Stegostoma tigrinum: one gene and its partners. The main gene of each other region encodes a partner of the protein of the gene in region 2 in a complex. Links are inferred from orthologs where the notes say so. Each region holds a gene or a part of one and is shown on either strand. Other genes may lie near its edges.

Evidence for each region.
Region 1: rbm48 (region 2) and snip1 share a complex: the UniProt entries of both Homo sapiens proteins name them as parts of the minor spliceosome. The link is inferred for Stegostoma tigrinum from reciprocal best matches to the Homo sapiens genes RBM48 and SNIP1.
Region 3: rbm48 (region 2) and snrpd2 share a complex: the UniProt entries of both Homo sapiens proteins name them as parts of the minor spliceosome. The link is inferred for Stegostoma tigrinum from reciprocal best matches to the Homo sapiens genes RBM48 and SNRPD2.

The regions. Positions count from the first base shown.
Region 1 is NC_081377.1:12,588,706-12,597,299, reverse strand, and holds the start of snip1 (smad nuclear-interacting protein 1), read left to right. Parts: upstream 1-4,982; 5' UTR 4,983-5,013; coding exon 5,014-5,253; intron 5,254-6,423; coding exon 6,424-7,031; intron 7,032-8,594. UniProt on the Homo sapiens protein: Required for pre-mRNA splicing as component of the spliceosome. As a component of the minor spliceosome, involved in the splicing of U12-type introns in pre-mRNAs. Down-regulates NF-kappa-B signaling by competing with RELA for CREBBP/EP300 binding.
Region 2 is NC_081355.1:77,251,732-77,259,921, forward strand, and holds the start of rbm48 (RNA-binding protein 48), read left to right. Parts: upstream 1-4,545; 5' UTR 4,546-4,631; coding exon 4,632-4,733; intron 4,734-7,123; coding exon 7,124-7,314; intron 7,315-8,190. Other genes in the region: pex1 (peroxisome biogenesis factor 1), read right to left, coding at 4,228-4,332. UniProt on the Homo sapiens protein: As a component of the minor spliceosome, involved in the splicing of U12-type introns in pre-mRNAs.
Region 3 is NC_081392.1:12,358,711-12,366,785, reverse strand, and holds the start of snrpd2 (small nuclear ribonucleoprotein Sm D2), read left to right. Parts: upstream 1-4,463; 5' UTR 4,464-4,576; coding exon 4,577-4,578; intron 4,579-8,075. UniProt on the Homo sapiens protein: Plays a role in pre-mRNA splicing as a core component of the spliceosomal U1, U2, U4 and U5 small nuclear ribonucleoproteins (snRNPs), the building blocks of the spliceosome.

The sequences.
Region 1 (8,594 bases), on a different chromosome or scaffold from region 2:
CGGGGACTGTGCGGGGTGACGACTGCCGGGGTATTTTCTTTGCTTTGTTTTTTTCTTCTTTGTTTTTTTTCCTTTAGTTGATGTACGTACCCCCTGGGTAACCCAGAGCGGCTTGCATGACTGGGTAGGTATATAAATATGTTTTATTTTGTACATCTTATGAATAAAGTACATTTTTTCAAATAAAAAAAAGTGACAAAAGGTCTGAAAACTAACCTTCCAGCTCAGCGAGCAAACTCACATCCAGAACCTCAACCTGAGCTACAAATCTTCTCAAAACTCGCTACTATGAGGCCATGTTATGTACGATAATGTCAACACTCAAGTTTTCCTAAAAGCATGATCTATTGCTCCTGTTCCTGCTTTCTTGATTAAAACTAAAACAGAAAATATTAGAGAAACTCAGCAGGTCTGGCAAAGAGAGAATGAGTTTGCCTTTTTTTCAGTACTAAGGGGTTGGGAAGTTATGGCTGTTATGCTGTTGATAAGATGGAGTGGGAGGGTGGGTATGGTGAGCGAAATATAAAGGCAGTGCTAATGATGATAAACGACAGATTAGGATGTAAAGTAGATGTTAATGATAACTTTTAACAGGAGAAAACAGGTCAGCTCTGCTGGGAGCAAGGCCAACTAAACATCAGCAAGACATGGGGAAGGGTGGGGATGTAATCAGAATGAAAGGTGATGTTCATGCTCTGAAGCTGTTGAACTTTCATTGTTAGTTCCCAAGTTGTAAAGTGCCTAAGTGGAAAATGAGGTGTTGTTTCTTCACCTTGTGTTGAACTTTGCTGGAATGCTACAGCAGGCCTAGGATGGAAATGGGAACAAGATAGTTCATTGAAATGGCAAACAACTGAAATGTCTGGGTCATTCTTATAGACAGAGTGGAGCTGATCTGTAAAGTGGTTCCCCATTCTGCATTTTGTCTCGCTAATTTAGAGGAGGCCACATGGTGAGAAGTGACGACAGTAGACTAGTATGAAAGAAATATGAGTGAAATGATATGTCACCTAGAAAATGTGTTTGGGATCTTAGGGAGTGTAAGACTGTAAGGAGAGGAGAGGTATCAAGGCAAGAAGCACCTCATGGAAAGGTGCCCTGCGGGGAGGATGGTGTGTAAGGAGTCTCTGAGTAGTGAACCAGAGTTCACAGAGGGAACAGTCCATGCGGAACACTGAAGTGTGGGGAGGGGAAGAAGAATTTGTTGGTGGCATCCTTCTAGATGTGGTGGAAATGGCAGAGAATTTCCTCAGTGTGGAGACTGGTGGTGTGCAAAGTGACAACATGGGGAATCTTTTTGTCTGTGAGAGAAGCAAAGTGGTGAGGGCAAAAGGACAGCAAATGGGTAACACACATCTGAAGGCCCTGTCAACCATGTTGTGGGGCAATTCTCGACTGAGAAAAAAATGAGAAAAGTTTGGAGACACATCAGTGGAAGATGGCTTTATTGAAACAGATGCTGCGGAGATGGAGAAACTGAGAGAATAGAATGGAATCCTTGAAGGAAACAGGGTGTGAAACTGTAGTCAAAGTAACTATGGGATGAGGTGGGTTTATCGTGGATATTGGTGGACAGCTTGTCTCCAGAAATAGAAACCCCGTGAAGTCAAAGAAGGGAAATGGAGAGTCAGAGTTAGACCAGGTGAAGGTGAGAGGAGGACAAAAGTTGGAAGCAAAACGGGTTAAGTTTCCAATTCTTAATGAGTGCAGGAAGCAGTCCTGATGACATTATCAATGTACTAGAGAAAGAACTGTGGAAGGGAGATTGAGTGGGACAGGAGCAAGGAATGTTCAGCATATCCTACAAAGAGACAGACAGAGAACTTATTTATTTGGAGTAAATAGTAATTCCTGGTAGGTTCAGAAACGGATCCATATTTTATGTTAACCTGAGTCTGTCAGACAGGTAAATTTGGGACTTTGTGTACTTTGATAAAATTGTCAACTTTTGTGATGACTCTAGAAATAGCAAGCCATGATTTGTAGCATGTGTCCCAGTGTGGTGTGACATGTATAAAACACAGTCTCTTGGATAAAGCATCAGTTATTCCTTTGCTGCATCATATTTCTTTGGTCTAGCATCAATGTTCTTTTCTCCTGCTATGCTTCTGTGAACATTTTTCTACATTAAAGGTTCTGTGTGAACACAGTATGTTGTTACCAGAAGGTAATTTATAGAGGCACAGAGCACAAAAACAGGCCCTTCAGCCCAATCCTCCATGCTGACCAAGTTTCCTATATTGAGCTAGTCCCATTTGCTTGCATTTGGCCCATATGACCCTAAAACGTTTCTATCCATGTATCTGTCCAAATGTCTTACATTCCATATACACAACTCCCACTGTATGAAAAAGTTGTTCCTCAGGTCCCTTTTAAATCTCTACCGCTCTCATCTTAAACCTTTGCTCTCTAATTTTGGACTTCCCTACCCTAAGGGAAAAGACCTTGGCTATTCACCTTATCTGTGCCCCTCATGATTTTAAAAATCTTTATAAAAGACCTCTCAGCCCCCTTTGGTTCAGGGAAAGATATCCCAGTCTATCCAAGCCACTGAAATTGCAGACTGCTTGAGAATCTGCGAATCAACTGAAAAGGCTATTTTATCCAGGGGTGCTTCACTACATTCGATCAACATTTATAATTACAATATATATTTTGTGCCATACATATAGCCCTGAGAGATTTTCAGCATCTTAGTTTATAGTAGAGTCAAAGAATTGTACAGGTGTACATAGAGCTGGATCCAACTCATCTATGCTGACCAGATATCCTAAATTAATCTAGTCCCATTTGCCTGTATTTGCCATATCCATCTGACTCCTTCCTATTCATATATCCATCCAGATGCCTTTTAAAAGTCATAATTGTACCAGCTTCCACAAGTTCCTGTGGCAGCTCATTCCATACATGCTCCACCCTCTGCATGAAAAAGTTGCCCAATAGGTCTCTATCTATGCCCCTTATGATTTTTATAAATTTCTATAAGGTCACCCCTCAGCCTCCAACGCCCGAATGAAAATAGCCCCAGTCTACTCCCCCTCTAGCTCAAACCTTGCAACTCTGGCAACATCCTTGTAATTCTTTTCTGAACCCTTTCAAGTTTCACAACATTCTTCCTATGGCAGGGAGACCAGAACTGCACACAGCATTCCAAAAGTGGCCTAACCAATGTGCTGTACAGCTGCAACATGACCTCCCAACTCCTGTACTGAATGCGCTGAACAATAAAGGCAAGCATACCAATGTCATCTTTACTATCCTGTCAACATGTGAATCTACTTTCAAGGAGCAGTGAACTTACACTCCAAGGTATCTTTGTTCAGCAACAATCCCCAGGACCTTACCATTAAGTGTATAAGTCCTGTCCTGATTTGCCTTTCCAAAATGCAGCACCTCATATTTATCAAAATTAAACTCCATCTGGCACTCCTTGGCCCATCTGATCAGGGTCCTATTGTACTCTGAGGTAACCTTGGTTGTCCAATTTTGGTGTCACCTGCAAACTTATTGAACATACCTCCTACGTTCACATCTAAATCATTTATATAAATGACAAAGGACAGTGGACCCAGTACTAATCCTTATGGCACACTGTTTGTCACAGGCCTCCGGTCTGAAAAGTAACCTTCTACCACCACTCTCGATCTCCTACCTTCGAGCCAGTTCTGTATCCAAATCGCAAGTTCTCCTGTATTCCACATGATCTAACCTTGCTAACCAGTCTAACTGGGGGAATGAGAAACTTTTAGGCAGAAACTTTCGCCCTTTCAGTCTTTCGTATATTTCTGTTTGCTGTCCTGAACCTGAGTGTTCAGTTTACAACAGTGACCAAATTTCCTGGATTTTTTTGGACTATTCAATTTTGGACCAGATTGTCCCTTGTCCCGGATTGGCTGTTTTCAGAACAGTCCTTATTCCGCATTTTTCATCATAGAATCCAGGTAGTGCAGGAGCAGGCCATTCAGCCCATCAAGTCCACACTGACCCTCTGAATAGCATCCCACTCAGACATATCCCATCCCAGTAACTCTGCATTTCCCATGGTCAATCCACCTAACCTGCACATCTTTGGACTGTGCGAGTAAACCGGAACATCTGGGGGAAACCCATGCAGTCACAGAATGTCCAAACTTCAAACAGATAGTTACCCAAGGGTGAAATCAAACCCTGATCCCTGGTGCAGTGAGGCAGCTTTGCTAACCACTGAGCTACTGTGCTGCCTAATTGTTGCAGATGTGGATAATGCACCTCCCACTGGCTCATCAACATCCCCCAGCCCAGTTGGACAGTCACCTGTACCAAAATTTCCCTTCTTCCTAACCCGAGTTGGTCACCCTGTTAGGTGCATAGAAATTATAGGCTAAAGTAGGCCATTTGTCCCCTCAAGCCTGCTCTGCCATTCAAATAATATCATGCCTCACCTGATTGCGGCCTCACCTCCACTGCTGTGCCTAACCACCCCTAAATAAACTTTGACTTGTCAGCTAAGAATCTAACTCTGCCTCAAAAATATTCGGTAATCCCACGTCCACCATTCCCTGCCAAGAGATTGCCAAAGACATCCGACCCTCTGACAAGAGAAATAAACTCTCTTCATCTCTAACTTGAAATACGAGTCCGCTAATTTTTAAACTGTATCCCCCTAGTTCTAAGATAACGAAATGTGAAGCTGGATGAACACAGCAGGCCAAGTTCTAGTCTAGTTGCAACCCTGAGACCATTAGCGCCCAATGGGTTTGAGAAATCAGCAGGAGCACTGGAGACAGGCAAGAACAAATAAAAATAATAATAACAAGAAAACATCAGCAAGCATCTCTGGAGCAGTGTGTATTGAGAGAGGTGATGCAGCGATTCATGAATCTAATATTAGGAGGGAATCATTCTGCAGTTGCCTGTCCAAGGTTGGAGCCAAGAGCCTTGGCTGGCTGATCTCTCACCTCTGCTACGTGACCCCGGAAGTGTTCTATTCGCTGGCCGGCAGTGTTGTTCCGGGTCGGTGCCACAGCCGGGAAGATGGAGGCTCAGGGCCGCCGCCGGGCCTGGCACAGCCCCGAGCCTGGGCCCGCGACCGACCGCCACCGATTGAGGATCAAGCGAGAGGGGGCAGTTGGCCCCAAGCACCGGCCCTCGAGTTCGGGCTCCTCCGGGGGCAGCGTCTCTCCACCTGAGCACTGGCAGAGCCGCTCCCCGGCCCGGAGGAAGCCGGCACCCGAACAACAACAACATTCACGGCCCGGGGGCAAGTTGAAGCGGGTGAGTTACCGAGTCAAGCCGGTAATAATAATAAAACACAAATCATTACTGCAGCAACCGTTCCCTCGCATGACAGGAACTGCAGCCCCAATTCAGCCACATCATAACTGAGGAAGAGGATTTAACTTTCACGTCAATCTCACTCTAGTGTCATTGCTAAAGAGAGTGTGTGAGTGAAAATTCAGTTCCTCGGTGAGCGCAGGAAGGAGGGGAATTTGGTGCAATGAAGAGGCAGGTGAAGTATTATTAAAAAGTTCCATTAAAGTGCATGAGGAATTGTTAATAGCAGCAGAAGGGACCTGAATGAGAGAACACAAGTTTAAAGGTGTTTGGCGAAGACACCAATACAAATTTCCTTTCATCCAGAGTGAGATCTTATACGCCGAAAAGCGCTGCCTGACAGGGTAGCAGAAGCAGATTTGATTTTCACTTTTTGGAAGGAAACTGAATGATTCAAAAGAGACATGAGTTGCAGCACTGTGACTGGTGAATGGGACTGATTGGATAGCCCTCTGAAGGTGCTATCTGGCTGAATGGCCTCCTTAGTTGTGATTAAATTTGATTCTAGATTCCTGTTTTAGTGGTTAAAAGTTAAAATGATCACCCTGGATGTGAATTGTGTTCTGTTGTGAAGCCACAAGGTTTAATGTGATAGTTAAATACAATAGTTTATAGTTAGCTTTCCAGTTCATGTATTTCACGGATAAGTTAATTTGGCAACACAGCACAGTAGTTAGCCTTGCTGCCTCCCTGTGCCAGTGATCCAAGTTTGATTCCAACCTTGTGTAGAGCTTGCACATTCTCCCCATGCCTGTGTGGGTTTCTGCCTGGCCCTCTGGTTTCCTCCTACAGTCCAAGTGTGCAGGTTAGAAGGATTAGCCATGCTAATTTGCCCCACCTGTTGAAGGATGGTTAGGCTAGATGGCTTGGTCATGGTCATCGTGAGATTATGGTGATAGGATGGGGGGGTGGATCTGGTGCATCTCTGACTCTTCGGAATGTTGGTGCAGACTCGGGCTGAATTGTCTCTATCTGCACTGTGTGGATTTTATAATTCTATGATGAAATAATAATCTCCGCTAGTTACCATGTGAAGTTTTTATACCAATTGTCTCATAATTTCAGGCCATGCCATGGCATGCAAAATTTAATTTTTCTCATTCCGTTCAGGAACGGCATGACCATTCTCAACGGGATCATGCTGAGAGACGACACAGAGACCACTCTAGTAGAAATGGGCATCGGCGCAAGAAGAACAGTGACCGAGAGCGTCACAGAGAATGTTCAGACCGGGGCCGAGGCCACAACAAAAGGAATGGTAGCTCTCACACAGAAGGTGGTACAAGTGGCCGAGACAGGGAGGCTCAGCTCCTCAGCACTCAGCAGGCCGAGCGAGAGTACTACAATGAGAGAAGGCGTCAAAACCGCAATCAGTGTCCCCTGCTCAGTGATGAGCATCCTGCCTCTGAGTCAAATAACAGCCAAGCTCATAGTGGCAACACAGCCCCGGTGAAAGAGGAGCCAAATTTTGAGCTTTCTGGTGCCCTCGTGGAAGACACAAACACCTTTCGTGGAGTGGTGATAAAATACTGTGAACCGCCCGAGTCCCGGATCCCAAGGAAACGATGGCGGCTTTATCCGTTCAAGAATGATGAGCCTCTTCCAGTTATGCACATTCATCGTCAGAGTGCCTATCTCTTGGGCCGACAGCGGAGGGTCGTGGATATCCCAATTGACCATCCTTCCTGCTCCAAGCAACATGCAGTGCTACAATACAGGTTGGTGTTTAAAAAGCTATTAATGTAAGCCTGTGGGGAGTGGACCTAACTGGATTGCTGTGCAGGGTCCAGTATGGACATGTTGGTTGAATGGTTCCCTGTGCTCCCTTAAATGACAACTTTGCATTGTTCTGACATCGGTTAGTCTGATGCTGATCCCATTGGATTTCCTGGTTGCCACCCTTCTCCTGTAGGATTGGTTTTCTTTTATTTGCTGTCCAGGTTTCTCTCTCCCAATTTCTATTATAGGAAGTAGACTGCAAAATGATTTTTATTTCCTCGATGTTCAGCAGTCTTCCCCGGAAAGGCAGTTTGTTAATATTAAATAACTACTTTAAGAAAAAAAAACTAAACAAACATCCCATTAAGAAATGAGCTTGTGGTCACAGTGATAGATTCCTCACTGAGCAGTACCTGTAAAGGGTTTGATGTTTCCTGGGACAGGGAAAGTGTCTCGGGCAAGCAGCTGCCAAAATCTAATTTATATCCTGGAGCTAAAGAAAGACCTTATGTTCCCAAGTCACCTTTCCTGGTCTTGGGTCATTGCATATAATTTTATAACCAGTCGAGCAATTTTGAAACATAGTCACTGTTGTATTTTAATAAACGCGACTGCAGTTCTTGTAGATTTAACAAGTACAGTTTTAGGGGTGGAGCAGTAAATGGGAAGCAGGCAATATTTATGGAAATGTTTGTCTTAGGGCATTAAATATGTTGAAATACTTTATAAGTGAGTGGATTTTATAGACTGATACTTTTGTGTTTGATAGGCCATAGCTTTTGTCCTATTCCACAGTCCGGTCCAAAAGTGTTTCGGCTGTCTGTTACCCTTTTCTCTCTCTGAATCCCGTTTTGAAAGTATTGCCAACACCCTTTGGTACTTCGAGGGAAGTACTTAGGTGTAATATTAAAATTAGTGCGTGCATTGATCATCTGATTTTATTTTTCTGGATTGAACAAAGTTAATGAGCAACTTTGCATAACATTTTGTGCTGGGATCAGTTTTACCAAGATTAATTTTATTCACAGTCAATTGCTTCTTGTTCTTGGTATTAATTAACCAAGATTTTTTTTTCAGTCATAGTCATTAGGGGGTTGAATGAGCAATTTGTCCTATTGAGTTCATGCTGGCTGTTTGTAGATCAGTTTGATTTCCAGACACTTTTTTTACCTCTGTTATCTTGTAAGCTCATTTCCCTCAAATACCATTCAACATTGACAAACACTGTGCAGTTGTATTTTGCTAGGAGAAATTTTATAGGTTGTTTTTGGTACTTCCTCTGCTACAGAAGTTTTTTGGCCCCATTTCCTGTTTTCATCTAATTCTGGTGCATTTAGCGTTCTTGTTTCACCCAATCAGCATTCCAGTCTCTGGCAATGCTGCTTAAGCTTGCCTGCATGCGGATGAACACAGACAGCTCAAAGTTACTGTTTTGCAGGTTCTTTTTTCTTTCCCTTCCACATGTCTTTGTCCTCATCTTTTTTATGGACTATTGCTGTCCCTCCCACAGTCGTTCTTTTAAAAAAAAATCATAGTTTATTGTACCCATCACTGATGTCTGG
Region 2 (8,190 bases):
TCATGGCTTGGAGAGAAACTTGAAGGAGCCTTGGTAAGTTACTGCAGTGCATCAGTGCCACTGCACTACAATGTTGGATGGAACGAATGTTGTAGATGGAGTGCCAATCAAGTGGGCTGTTAAGTCTTGGATGATGTTGAGATACACTCATGAGTATTCAACCACACTCCTGACTTGTACCTCATATTCGATGTTTTGATGAACCAGAAGGCAAGTTACTTGTTGCAGAATTCACTGCCTCTAACCTGCATTTGTAACCCCAGTACTTATATGGCTGGTCCTGTTGAGATTCTGATCAAAGGTATCCTTAAAAGTATTGATAGTAAAGGATTCAACTAGGGTAATGGCACCGAATGTCAAGGGGTGATTGCTGGATTCTCTCTTGTTGGCATTACTAAACAGCCCAGCCTGAACGCTGTCCACATTTTGTTGCATTTAGACAAGGATTGCTCCAATATGAGGCAGTTAAGAATGGTGCTGACCATTGTGCAATCATCAGCAAACATCCCCACCTCTGACCTTATGATGAAATGAATGTCAATGATGAAGCAGCTGAAGATGTTTGGGCATACGACAAGATCCAGAGGAACTTGGGAAGGGCTCTTGAGGCACAATGGTAGAGCCCCAACCTCAGAGCCAGTAGGCCTGGATTCATGACCCACCTGCTCCAGAGGTATGTGATAAAACACCTGAACAAGCTGATTAAAAATATTTATCCAGAACACCTACTATGATATTCTGTGGCTGAGATAATTGACCTCCAACAACCACAACTATCTTTCTTTGTGTTATGTGTGGCTCCAAACAACAGAAAGTTTCCCCCATTTACTCCAAGTTTACTAGGACTCTGACACCATATTTGGTCAAAATGTTGTCTTCATCATCCAGCATGATCTGACTTTAACTAATCCATCCCAACTTTCCTTAATTAACATGCATTTAAAGTGAACATCAAATTTTGTCCTGGTTACTTCCACAGGATTAAACTGAGGAGTAGTTGCAGCATTCATCCTTACATCTTTTATTGAACTGGGTAACTGGAACACTGAGGAACAATGACTTATAACGCAACTTCAAACTGGCTCAAGTCTCACTCTCGAACTGAGAATAGGTGGCAACCCCAAAACAACACCACACTAATTCAACTCTGTAGAGAAATTAATGTGGGTTACAAGTTCAAATCCCAGATTTGAGCTAAAACCTTCTGTCCTGGCCAACTGTTGGTACAACAAATCACTGTACAGATTTTCTCATCATCATTTAGCTGACTGTCGAACCTTGTTCTGCGAAACACTGGCTGCTACTTTCCCACAATGTACTTCAAGGTTTGAAAGGGGCTTTGAGACATCCCAAGGTAATACTAGTATGGTATTAATATGCAACTAACGAAACATTTCCAGAAAGGCTATGATTCTTGTACAAGCAGGTGGAAGATAATTACACTTAAAGACAATGGCAGCCTTCTATTAAATTCTAAGCCTCTCAAAGTCCCTGAAGTGTTGTTATGAGGTCACACACAGCCGTCTCCTGAACAGACCAAACTTGCGTTCAAAGGATTTTGGGAGATTCGTTTTGGCAGGGAAAAATAATCATCAGAAAAGAAAAGCTCTACTAATGGCAGAGGATTCAAGAAACTCCCTAAAAACAAGGAAAGTACTTGAAGATGTTCACTATTTAGTAACCTGGTAAACTACTTTTACAGGCGAAGCTAGGACTAACTTATAACAATAGGAACTGGTACAGACCATTCAGGCCTGTTTCACCATTAAACGAAATCATGGCTTATGTGTGGCCGAACTCCACATATCTGCCTTTGGCCCATGATAATAAAATGTGAGGCTGGATGAACACAGCAGGCCAAGCAGCATCTCAGGAGCACAAAAGCTTTTGTGCTCCTGAGAAGCTGCTTGGCCTGCTGTGTTCATCCAGCCTCACATTTTATTATCTTGGAATTCTCCAGCATCTGCAGTTCCCATTATCTCTGCCTTTGGCCCATATCTCTTAATACCATTGCTTAACAAAAATGATCCATCTCAGATTTAAAACTGACAACGGATCCTACATCCACTGTTGTTTGTGGAAAGAGTTCTAAACCTCAAATCACCCTTTTGTGTAGAAGTGCTCCCTAACATCTCTCCTGAATTGTCCGGCTCTAATTTTTAGACTAATCCTCCAGTTCTAGTTCCCCAAGCAGCACAAGTAGTTTATCTTTATCCACTGTCTTTTCCTGTTAAAATGTTGAAGACCTTCTAGATTACCTTCTAACTTCTAGAGAAAACAGGCCTAATTTGTAAGATCACTCCTCAAAACTTAACCCTGAAGTCCAGGTATCATTCTTGTACACCTATGTTTTACTCCCTCCACGGCCAATACACCCTTCCTCAGGGGTGGTGCCCTGATCTGCTTACATCAGGCTGCAATACTGTAAGCAGGATCTAACCGGTGTTTTGTACAACTGCAGCATAACCTCTGGTTCCTTGTACTTCATTCCTCTAGATAACAACAGCCAGTATTCCAATCAATTTCGTAGATTATTTTCTGAGCTTATTTGTGACATTTTCAAGATCTAAAGTTCAGCACCATTCGTAACTCCTCAGACACTGAAGTAGTCCAAGTTCAAATGTAACAAGATTTGGACAATATCCAGGCCTGGGCTGATGAGTGGCAAGTAACATTCACACAGCAGAAATGCCAGGTAATGACCATCTCCAATAAGCAAGGCCTAACACTGTCACTTGACTTCATTGGTGTTAGAAGGGAATTCCCCAATAACAACATCCTTAGGGTTATCATTGACCAGAAACTCAACCGGACTCACCACATAAACTCAGTGGTTACAAAAGCAGGTCAAAGACTAGGAATACTACTGCAACTAACTCACCTCCTGACTCCACAAAGCCAATGGTGTGATGGAATGCCCTCCACTTGCCTGGATGGGTGCAGCTCCAGCAACACAAGAAGTTTGACTCCATTCGTGATAAAGCAGCCTGAATGATTAGCACCATATCCAGAAGCATTCACTCCTTCCACCACTGACACTCAGTACCTATTGCTGCTACTATCTACAAGGTGCATTGCAGAAACTAACCAAAGGGAAGCAGATGCTTTGTGGAACATCTACGCTCGGTTCACACTAAACAACTGCACGTCCAAGGTGCAAACCATTTCAACTCCCCCTCCCATTCCTCAGACGACACATACATCCTGGGCCTCCTGCAGTGCCACAACGATGCCACCAGACGGTTGCAGGAGTAGTGATTCATATTCCGCTTGGGAATCCTGCAGACCAATGGAATCAATGTGGACTTCACAAGCTTCAAAATCTCCCCTCCAACTACCACATCCCAAAACTAGCCCAGCTCGTCTCCACCTCCCTAACCTGTTCTTCTCACCTATCCCTTCCTCCCACCTCAAGCTCCACCCCCATCTTCTATCTACTAGCCTCATCCCACACCACTTGACCTGTCCATCCTCCCTGGTTTGACCTATCTCCCATATAACTCCCCACCTACACTTACTTTTACTGGCTCCATCCCCACCTCTTTGACCGGTCTGTCTCCTCTCCACCTATCTTCTCTTCTATCCATCTTTTATCCACCTCCCCCATTTCTGAAGAAGGGTCTAGGCCAGAAACGTCAGCCTTCCTGCTCGGCCTGCTGTGTTCATCCAGCTCTACACCTTGTTATGTCAAGCCTTACAGTAAGTGAAAGATAAACATAAGAAAATGCCATTACTAAAAACTAATTATAAACAAAATATAAATGAGGAAGGGTCCCAACCCGAAACATCGACTTTCGTATTGCTCTGATGCTGTGTTCCTCCAGCTCCATCCACACTGTTGTGTCTAATACAATGTTAATACACAATACGTCACATGCTACAAGTCACTGCGCGTGGCGACACAAAATACAACGCTTTTAAGAGAAAACATATGAAAGACCAGCAGCAATAGAATCCATTAAATTGTCGGCCTACTATATATATCCAAACTGTTCAATAATTGCTTTTGTTCTCCCAGAGAAGGAAATCTGGCGTCCTCACTCACAGCAGCCTGTATGTGGTGCCAGTCCCTCACCAACGTAGCTGACCTCTGAAATGAACATCACTTGCACCCAACCCCGACGCCAAGGTGACCGGGGATGGATAATAAATGCAGGCGTAAAATCAAAAAGACAGTGGTAGCGGGGAAGAGAAGAAAGGGAAGACGCCATTGGCGACGGCTATCACCTCCTCCAGATGAAGTTGCGATGCTCGCTGAGGGGCCAGGTGCAGGAAGCAGTCCTTGATGTTGCCGAGTCTGAGTTGCACGCAGACGGCCCCGGCAACCAACATCCTGCCGCGCGCTGCCAAAGGGCACAACTCGCGCCGCTTACACCGTTAGGCGCAGGATTCCACAGATTCGAACACAGACCGCATTCGCCAGATCCAGCACAGCCAACTTCCGTCAGTTTCCGTTTCCGAAAATGACCTACCGACGCAAGATTTCTTCGATTGACCTCTGACCGACCTATCACATCCCGAGCTCAACGGGAGGGCACGGAGGAGGCGGGACTCCATCCGGGGCCGGTGCCAAACGATCTAGTCATCGAGCGATCGGTACTCGATTGCGATCGTCTCTTCTTCGATCAAAGATGGCTGTTCGGGTTCCTGAGGTGTTCAGACACCATCGGCAGGAAAACGTCTGCTTCACGCGACCCAAGTACCGAGAGGGTCGGAGGCTGAGGGCTGTCAAAGTAAGTGCTGCTTCGGATGTAGGTGAAGGTTTGTGAAACAACCCGATCCCGTCCTGCAGCTCATTGATTGCGAGGAATGCAAAAGTCTTTCGTTGAATGCAATGTTGTTCTCAATGAGGATACAACATGGCTGTCTGGTGGAAAGATGCGAATATTTTGGAGTTTTCTTGGATCTTTAGAAGACGTTTATCGTTTTCTTGTCGACATTGAGCGTGATCCAGATTTCCACTTTATGGTCGAAAACATTTAATAATTTACTGCTAAATTATCTAATTTCAATGGCAAAATATTGCGCTCGATTACCTCACCAGAAAGAATTCTGTCCTTCCAATTCTTTCCTTTGTAATTATAAACAGTTCGGTTATGATCTAAACGTTAGCGGGTATAAACAGGTTATTTAAATTAACCCTGTAAACTCTAGAATATTTATGATTCTTGGCTAGAGATTCACTCTGTCGACTGAAGTATAATAATTCTAGCAGTTCGCTTGAACGGTATTCTAATTTAAACACTGACTCCCTCCACCACAGTGACAGTATTACATACAAGATACATTACAGGTGCATTCAAGTAATTTCAATAACACCTTACAAACCCATGAGTTCTACCACCTAGAAGGGCAAGAGCCGCGGTTACGTGGGAAACCACCACCTGTAACTTCTCCAAGCCGCACTCGGGACCGTATTTCGGTTCCTTTAATTTTGCTATCAAAATTCTGAAACTGATTTCCTAACACTACGGCGAAATAAGTAAACCACGTGGACTGCAGCAATTTGAGAAGATAGTTAAGCATTTGTTTGTTTTTCAAGAGCAGTTAAGAACAAACAACAAATTCCTAGCCAATGTTCACATGTAATGGCATATTTTAAAATTCTGCATTTTAGAACTGAATGACGGCTTCCAATTTCACCACCACCTTTCTGCCATACAGCTCATTTGCAGATCTCCTATATCTTTCTTTGTCTTGGAAATACCACAGTCAGTATGGCTATGCATTGGATGACAATGTCATCCCTGCAAAGAGCTTTAGGACTTCACTCACCCAACAGACCTGTTTCTGAACCTGAACAACAATTTGTCAATGCTGTAGAGGACCACAACATTCAAGAGCAGGAGACGTCTATCTGGCCCTTCAAAGCTGTTGTGTAATTAGTAAAATCATGGCTGATCTGATTATGGTGTCAGCTTTACTATTCTGTTTGCAAACCATAATCCTTGATTCCCTTGTTTGTCAATATTCCATTCAGCTCAGCCTTGGATAAGTTCAGTGAGCCATCCTTCACTGCTTTGTGGAGAAGATAATTTGTGATCTCCTTATGTTAGGAATAGAGCATAATGATGAACACGTAGAATTAGAAACAATTTATTGAATCCAAGTAACAATTGCAAAATAGTTGATTTAAATGCACAAATTGTAGTAATTGGATTTAAATACTATTACAGAGACGTGGTTACAGAGTGACCAAGATTGGAAATTGAACATTTGGGATTTAGGAGGGATGGGCAAGAAGGACAAGGAGATGAGATAGCACTCTTAATAGAAGACAGGATCAGTAGATTAGTGAGAGGGAACCTTGGATGAAAGGATGAAGATAGAACAGAGAACATAGAAAAGTACAGCACAGTACAGGCCTTTTGACCCACGATGTTGTGCCTTGGAATAACCCTATTCCAAAAGATGTAGAATCAGTTTGGGTAGGGTAAGGAACAGTAAGGGGCAGCACAATTTTTTTCAAGTTTTTTATAGATCACTAAATTGTACAGGTGATACTGGACACAGTACAAATCAGGACATTACACTTGCGTGTACTTGTGGGTAATAAAGTAATAATGGATAATTTCAGTTAACATAGAAGCTGTGTGGAACTTTTACCCTAAACCTAAGGTCTATCTAACCTCCACCAGTACCTTATACTATCTATCGTCCATCAAATCAGCACTAATGCTCTGGAGGATTCCTGGACTGTGAATGAGCTGGATTTCTGGAGCAGTTATATTGAGGAGCCAACTAAAGAGCAGCCCTTGGTGTCTGTTTCCCGAACAAGGGTCTTGGGAAGTCAGAAATTAAATTTAGTATAGATAGTATTTAAAAAGTTAACTTGATTTAAGATTGATGAATTTATGACCTTCATCCCAAAGTATTGAAGGATCATTAAATATCAGAGCAGAATTTGGCCTTTTAGCCCATTGAGTCTGCTGCAACATTCAGTCATAGCTGATGTGTTTCTCAATCCCATTGTCCTGCCTTCTCCCTGTAACCCTTGATTCCCTTAGTGGGATCACTGTGGGAAAAACTATGGGATCTACCACTCTAAAGCAATAATATAGCATTGATGATTTTGAAATCACTGGCTTTGTTTCCCCCACATTCATGTTTGACAATGGTCTAGGTGTACACAATAAATCTGGAATCGAAGCACCTGCTAATACAGGGAGTGCCAGCTGTGGGAGTCATGAAGGAGTTGATTGAACTGTTTGCATTATATGGAACCATTGAAGAATATTCTGTATTGCATGAGTACCCAGCTGAGGAATTCACAGAAGTTTATCACATCAAATACCAAAGATTACAGAGTGCAAGGTAATGAATTAGAAATTAACTAGAATAACTTTTTCAGTTTTGGAGAAATAATATCTTTCATTCTTTCTTTGTACAGTAAACCTTTTACTAACTGGTGCCCTATGGGACCAGTAGTGTGCCAGTTGATCAAGAGGTCCACATAATCAGTATAAAAACACACACTAAGTAATAGAAATGTATTGGGGAAAAAAAACACATCGCTGCTGCACTTTACATCATAAATCACTTAAATAATAATCCACTTAGCCCTGAATAAAACTTACAAGCAGAGAGCCTTCCCACATGCACCCTCAAATGACCTCTTGGGCAATGCAGAGATCCCAATAAATCAATAAACTCTCAGTATTTTAGGGATATAATTTTTGCCGGTTTACCGAGCGTGCCGATTCTTAAGGTGCCAGCTAAAACAAAGTTTGCTATATCTTTTTATTGGAGTTAAAGATTTTTGAAATTAATTCACTTTGGCCAACCTCTTTATAAAGTAACAAGTTATCCATTTTATTCTTACCACAGGGTCTGAGTGGTACAAAGTGAATTATGTTTAATATGCTTTTTGGTTCAAAATATAAGTTGATGGTAAAGTTTGTGCGGTCTTAGTCCGTGGTTCAATTTTGGATATAGTCTAAAATTCCATACACTTGAAAGTTTTACAGATAAAAGTAATGGTATCGGTAAATGTCTATCAAATTTGTGTAATTTTTAAAGAAATGTAGCTAGTATTCAATCTTAACAAACATAAACATAGTATCTGCTAAGTAAAACCAATATCCATATGTCAGATAATTTGAAGTTACTCCTTTTCTCTGCTAGTTGGTATAAATTAAGGTGCAAGAGACTCAAATTTTAAAAGCTGATGTTATTTTAACTATCTTTAGT
Region 3 (8,075 bases), on a different chromosome or scaffold from region 2:
CTAAATGTCAGCCCTCAACCACTGATGCTCCAGGGAAAATAGCCCCAAATTATTCAAACTCTCCCTGTAGCTCAAAGCCTCCGACTCCAGCAATATTCTTGTAAATCTTTTCTGAACCTTTTCAAGCCTTACACCATCCTTCCTATAGCACTGAGACCAGAAATGAATGCAGTATTCCAAAAGTGGCCTCACCAACGTCGTGTACAACCTCAACGTGACCCTCCCAACTCCTACACTCAATGCACTGACCAATAAAGGTAAGTGTAACAAATGCTTTCTTCACTATTCTGCCTTGATGCAATGTTTGTGTGATGATGTCATGATTTTAAAAGGTTATTTTTGTTCTTTATTTGAAGAGAGGCTGCAAGGCAGAGAGACCGAAACGGCTACTAAGGACAGCTTGAGTAAACAGCTTGTGAGGCCTTGGATTTTTTTTTTAAACAGACTGAATGGGTGTGGCTAGCTCTCATAGATCTACATTTCCAGGTTTTGATTTCTCATTTGCATAAGAAGCCTTTGGACTCTCAAATGAACTGGAAGCTTCAGTGAATGACTCCTAGCTGCTATTCTCTCTGAATTCTCTCTTGATGTTTTTCCTCCTGGATTGGAGAACTGCCTGTGAGAATCTGTATCTGAATTGTCTTTTTGCCAAGGGGGAGTGTTTATGAGTTGTTACTATATTGGTACAGTTAATTAGTAAGAGTTACTGCATCTGTTACTCGATTATGTTTTCCAATCGTTCGTTTGTTTGCGTTTTAACTACAGCGTTTAGATAAATCATGTTTTGTCTAATGTTGAGTAGTTTGACCAGTTGCTTTGTATCTGGAAAGTGACATTTCACATCTATCTTTAAGGTAAGAAAAATTTAGTGTCTAGGCTACCTTCTCAAAATATTTTGAGGTCGTGTGGTCTGGGCCATAAGATTTGTGATTGAAGTATTGCAGATCATGTTTTATATACGTTTGCTTCCTCTATAAATCGAGCATGGTCAACAGGGAAGCTTATCACCACAACCCCATCTATAAACAAAGTTCTGCACAGGTCTCATTGATGATGCAATGATTTGAGACACAACAGGACATAAGGGATGATAAAATGGACACTAGAAATGAGGAAACAGACATAAATCAGAAACAACTTTAAAGTGAAAAAAAACTTTAAACGAGGACTCCCCCTTGGAAGAATATGCTGATAGGATAAGGTGAAAAGAGGTGCAGCATGGACAGTTGGGCTGCAAGGCCTGTTACAGCAAAATATATACAAGAAGGGTTTGAACACTGACGCAAGTAGACTCATACAGCATTGAAATAGACTTTTTGGTTCAATCCATCCATGCCGACCAGATATCCCAGTCTGACCTAGTCCCTTTCGCCAGGGAGGTGATGGCTTAGTGGTATTGTCGCTGGACTGCTAATCCAGAGATCCCGATAACGTTCTGGGGACCCGGATTCGAATCCCACCATGTCAGATGGTGGAATTTGAATTCAATAAAATGTCTGGAATTAAGAATACCCTGATGATTGCTGGAAAACCCCATCTGCTAGACTAATGTCCTTTAGGGAAGGAACCTGCCATCCTTGCCTGGTCTGGCCTACATGTGACTCCAGACCCACTGCAATGTGGTTGACTCTTAACTGTCCTGTGGGTCAATTAGGGATGGCCAATAAATGCTGCCTAGTCAGCACTGCCCTCATCCTGTTAATGAATAAAGAGCATTTGGCCTATATCCCTCTAAACCCTTCCTATTGATGTCCCCATCCAGATGCCTTTTAAATGCTGTAACTGTACCAGCCTCCACCACTTCCTCTGGCAGCTCGTTCCAGACACACACCATCCCCTTTGCAGAAGCCTTCAACATGCCCCTGGTCATGAGCAGGGTGATAAACTCAGAGGGTGTGTGAGGGGGAGAACATATCTGTAGCAGATTTCCTGTGACCTGTAGCCAATATTATCTGCTTGTGAGGGACCTGGTTTCTAACTTTTTATATTTATGGGTTTAGACATTTCATTGGACTCTACTGTTCACACGACTTCAGGTCTACACCTTGTTCACTATCTTCTAACACAACTCTACCTTCTGAATTGTTCTATTGTACATGTCTAAACATCTCGCAGTCACACTCTGACATACAGCATAAAGTAACACTCACGATAATCGCTCCACCCTTTGTAACAGTGACGTTATTAGATCATTTGAATCTTTACTCCCTGATGTTCCATCTCCCCTGACGGTGTAGATTATGTGTAGTGGAGATACCTGTTCTTGTTTTTCCAAGTACCAAGCAAGAGATTGAGGGTTTGCAGGCTGCTTGAAAATGAGGAAACTATTAAGTTCAATTGAGCTTGCTCAGTACATGCACAAACACACATGTACTGCTCTTCCAGAAATACTCTCTTCCTCCCAGACAGGGCCCAACTAACTGAGTACATCGAGTCCTGCAACCTCTGTTGCTCATACACTATACAGCAGTGTGTCTTCCCACTGATTGTAGAGTCACACACTCATAACGTCATACAGCAAGGGAACAGACCTTTCGGTCCAACCAGTCCATGCCAGCCATAATCCCAAACTAAACACGTGCCACCTGCCCACTCCTGGCCCATATCCCTCCAAACCTTTCTCATTCATGTACTTATCCAACTGTCTTTAAATGTTGTAATTGTGCCCACATCCACCACTTCCTCTGGAGGTTCATCCCACACACGAGCCACCCTCTGTGGAAAAAAACTTATCCTTTATGTCTTTTTTTTTAAAATTTGGCTCCTTTCACCTTAAAAATGTACCTCCTAGTCTCAAAATCCTCATTCCTCGGGAAAAGACAACTGCCATTATTATACATACTATCTATACCCCTTAGCGTCCCACTTGATCAGGGTTAAAGGAAAAGAAACATATTGCATCTATATAGCTCCTCTCACAATCCCATGGAGAGCCAAAGGGCCTTCTGACAAAATAAGGAGCCTTGAAGCTGTTGTCAGCAGTCCCTCGATTTGGAGATGACGTCCAATCAGAATTGGGAGCTTCTACCATGGGTGCTCATGTGACTGAACAGGCCGGTTGTCCATCCTCACGTCTTTAAAGGATGACCCGTGAGGTCGGAGAATGCAGATTGCGAAGGATCTGCTTCCTTTCCTCCCCTCTCAACTGTCTCTCATACTGGCAGAAAGAGTGGCGCACCATCTTAAACGATGGGTAGCGAGCTCCTCTCTGTCATTGTCTTTACACTTCAAGGAAAGTGTCAGTGTCTTTATAGACTCCGCACTGATGCCATCATTTCTTTAGAAACAGTTCAGGGAGGATTCAACAGGATGAGATTGTCTTGTGAGCAAAGATTAAGCAGATAGGGGCTGTATACACTGGAGCTTAGAAGAATCAATGATGATCTTGTTGAGACATACAGCATTCTTAAGGAGCAAAAACAGAAGCTTCTGGAAAGGCTCAGCAGGTCTGACTGCATCTGTGAAGAAAAATAGTGTTTTCGGTCCATTGGCTCCTGAAGAAGGGTCCTGACTCAAAACATCAACTTTCCTGCTCTTTCTGATGCTGCCTGGCCTGCTGTGTTCCACCAGCTCCACACTGTGTTAACTTTGACTCCAGCATCTGCAACTCTTACTTTCTCTGAGACTCTGAAAGCCTGTGTCTTCAAATAACCCTGTTGAACTATAACCTGGTGTCATGTGATTTTTGACCTTGTCCACCCCAATCCAACACTGGCACCTCCACATCAGTGAGTTTTGAGAAGATTTGTAGCTCAGGTTCTATTTATAAATAGAAAGCGGGACATAACACCAGCGCTTTGTCGGAGGCTCACTGATGATGTTACCTAGAATGGTGACGAAATGTCTGAAAACGAACCTTCCAGCTCAGCGAGCAAACTCACATCCAGAACCTCCACATCAATTGTAGGCTGATGTGAGCAGGAATTTCTTCTCTCAGAGGGTTGTGAGTTTTTGGAATTCCTTACCCAGTGAGCTGTGGGGGCAGAGTCCTTGTGTATATTTAAGGCAGAGATAGATAGATTCTTGATCAATTGGGTAATCAAGAGATACAGGGAAAGGGAAGGAATGTGGATATGAGGAATGTCAGACTAGCCATGATCCTACTGATGGAGCAGGATTGAGGGGTTGAACTGTCTAATCCTGTTCCTATTTCCGATGGTTACCCAGATGACAGCACCCCATCTTTTGCCAGTCACTTTAAAGCATCAATTAAATCTTTTCAATACCAGACCTAGAATGGGTGTTCAATTTCATTAAATGGCAATGTCCCTTTAAAAACACCTGGCTGTTTGAAGTTGTCATTGCGGAGGCTAGTCGGAGCTGCTGGGGGTTGAAGTCCATATGCTCGCCTCCGCTTTGTTAAAGGGGCACTGACGAACTACAACACCCAGAATGCCCCCGGTTGTAGTCCCGAACGTTGCCTTTCGGACCGGATGAACGTGACGCGGAAACTGCATCTCCCGGCGATCATTGCGCCAGCAGGAAGTTAGTCAACCCCACTTCTGGTGTGAGGCGAAGCGCGGTCGGTTGCGGTTGAAGGAGTGAAGAAGAGGCGACTGGGGGGACATCTAGCACCATGTGAGTGAGAGGTGGAGGGTGATTGAGAGGGGAAGAGAGACAGGGGTAAAAGAGATGCTTCCCCTCTCATCACCCGCTCCTCTGCCGGTAACTCGGGCCCTTTCGCCGGCGTTGCTAAGGCCTGAGGCCTAGCCCGCGCGGGCCCGAAGCCTTTCCCCACCGAGGTGATGGTGGGCACAGATTCTCGGCTCCTACCCTTCCCTCCCATCGCTCAGGGCGGGAGGGGAAGGAGAGGGAGCAGTAGTTCCCAGATTCGCATTCCCTTTCCGCATCTATTACCCCATTTTACTGGTTCTTCAGATACCGGTTCTCACCCGCCGCCTCCCCCTTCCCTGTCCCTCTCCACTCTGACAAAGCTGTTCAGAATCCTTTGAGAAGGTAACAGGGCAAGTTAGACGAAGGTGAACCAGTCGATGTGATCTATTTGGATTTCCAGAAAGCCTGTGACAAAGTGTTGCACAAGAGGCTGCTAAATAAGAGCTCATGCTGTTAGGGGCAAGGTACTGGCATGGATAGAGGATTGGGCTGACTGGCAGAAAGGGTAAAAGGAGCAAATTACTGCAGATGCTGGAATCTGCACTGAAAATGACAAATGCTAGCGATCACAGTGCTCAGACAGCATCTGTGGAGAGAAAGCAAGCTAATGTTTTGCGCTTGCTCTCTCTCTATCCACAGATGCTTTCTGATCCACTGTGACCCTCAGCATTTATTGCTTTCAGTAGGGATAAGGGAACTTTTTCAGGATGGCCCTCCAAGTCTGTGCTGACATGTTGTGTCCTTCCATACTAAAGCTGCCTTTACTTACAGGATCTGTATCCCTCTACTCCCTTCCTAATCATGTATTTGTCCAGGTGCTTTTAGAAAGTTGCTTTTGTGTCTGCTTCTGCCATCATCTCTGACAGCGCATTCCACCCTTTGTGTGAAAAACTTGCTTGGCACATCTCTCTCAAACATCCACACGCTCACAGACATGCACCTTGAATCTGTGTCCCCTAGTAAATGACTCCTCCATCCTGGAAAAAAAATCCTCATCCTTTCCGCTTTATCCATGCCATTCACAATTTTATAAACTTCTGTCATGTTGAGCTTCCCTCCCGCCCCAACCATCTCCTGTGTTCCAGTGAAAACAAACCCAGTCTTTCTGACCTTTCTTGGCTAAAATCTTCCACACCAGGCAAACCTGGTAAATCTTTTCTGTACCCTCTCCAAAGCATCTACATCCTTCTGGCAGTGTGGTGACCAGAACTGTGTGCAATTTTCCAAGTGTGGCCTAACTAAAGTTCTATAGAGTGCAGCATAATGTACTCAACCTTATACTTAATGCCCCTGCCAAGGAAGGCAAGCATGCCATAAGCATTTTTTTGACGACCTTCTGTACCTGTGCCGCCACCTTCAGTGACCTGTGTACCTGCACGCCTCGATCCCTCTGCATAGCAATCCCGTCCAAAAGGGTTCTGCCATTCACTGTATAATTTCCATCTGTACTTGGTCTTCCAAAATGCATCACCTCACATTTTGCTGGACTAAACTCCATCTGCCATTTTTCTGCTCGTGACTCCAACCGACTTATATCCTGCTGTATCCTCTGACAATCCTCAGTTATCTACAACTCCACTAATCTTTATATTATCCACAAACTTAGTAATTAGACCAAACACATTTTTCCTCTAAATCATTTATGTAGATCATGAACAGCACATGTCCCAGTCGTTCTTTTAAGGCTAACATGCAGGTTCATTTGCCAGTTAAGAAGGCACATGCACTGTTATCAATCATTTCAAGAGGGCTAGAATGGAAAAGCAGAGCTGTATTGCTGAAGCTTCATCAGGCTTTGATTAACTGCATCTGGAATATTGTGAACAGTTTTTGGCCTGTATCTAAAGGAGTTCTAAGGTGGCCTTGAGCAGGTCCACTGAAGGTTTACACGAATGATCCCAGGGATGAAGGAATTGTTGTACGAGGAATGGTTGACGACTCTGGATTTGTACTTGACAGAGTTTAGAAGGATGAGGGGGGAGTTTGATTGAAACTTACAGAATGCTGAGAGGCCTGGATGAAGTGGATGTGGAGAAGATATTTCCTCTAGTAGCAGAGACTAGGATACAAGGGCACAGTGTCAGAGTGAATGGATGACCCTTAGAACTGAGATGAGGAGGAGCTTCTTCAGCCAGAAGCTGGTGAATCTGTGGGACTCATTGCCGCGGAGGGCTGTGGAGGCCAAGTCATTGAGTGTATTTAAGACAGAGAAAGATGGGTTGTTGATTGATAGGGGTATCGGGGTAATGGGCAGAAGGAAGGAAAATAATGTTTAGGAACGTATCAGCCACGTTTGAATGGCGGAGCATACACGATAGGCCGAATGCCCTAATTCAGCTCCTATATCCTGTGGCCTTATGGCTGTCACTGCCCCATCCCCATCCATCTTGCCTCACTGCTTCCTCCTAAATTTGTGCTTTCATCACCTTGTTCAAATTACTCAAATTAACTTACCTTATCCAAGCATTTCCTATACTGCTGTTAAGGTAGGGTATTTACACGGTTTCTTTACTGCAGTTGTTGGAACTAGATATCTAGTTCCAGAGTCCGATCCACTGGGTTTAATGTGGTCTGGCATGTTCATTAGCTATTTCTAATTGGGAACCTGATCAACTCATTTTCTTGAAGGCATACAGAGTCTAGCCCGTTCCCCTGACCCGCTAACATGCTCTTTAATGGCAAAATTTACATTTATATAGTGCCTTAATGTTGTAACTGACATACAGAATCTCTCATGAGCATTATAAAACATTGTGACAGTTGTTCAGTCAAATGACCATACATTTGGTCGAATCTTTAAGGGGCATCTGAAAGGGGGAATAGAAAGCCCTAGAGGCGAAGAGCTTTGGGAAGTGAATTCCACATCCTGGGGCCCAACCAGCCGAAGGCATGGCTGCCAGTGCTGGACTGACTTACATTGGAGAAACTCAGAGCTGGAATTGAATGAGGGCAGGTTGTTGGGTGAGAGGAGATTACAGGATAAGGAGGGGTGATGCTATGGGAGGATCTGAAATCAAGGACGAGAATCTTGAAATCGATGTGGATTGATGCCAGTATCGATCAGCAAGCATTGGGTTGATGGGAGAAGCTGAACTTGGTGTGTTGGGTTCAGTGACACTTCAGTTGAGGCAGGTACAATATCTGGGATGTTATAGATTGGTGACAGCATTAATGTCTGGTTGGACACTCATCCCGGGGCTGAACATTATTGAGTTGAACAAATTGGTTTAATTTTGGACTTTTGCCAGTGTATGGCTAGAGTGGGTATTGGCAAGAGAGAAAAGTTTGGAGTGAAACTGAATGTATTGGCTTGAAGCATCTTAATGTTTAACTAGAAAAAATTCTGCTTATCCTATACTGGATGTCAGGTACACGGTTGGTCACTACAACAATAGTGGAGCAGTGAGAGAGATGGCAGTAAGATTCAGCTGAGTGTCATCAACAAACATGTGAAAAATGCC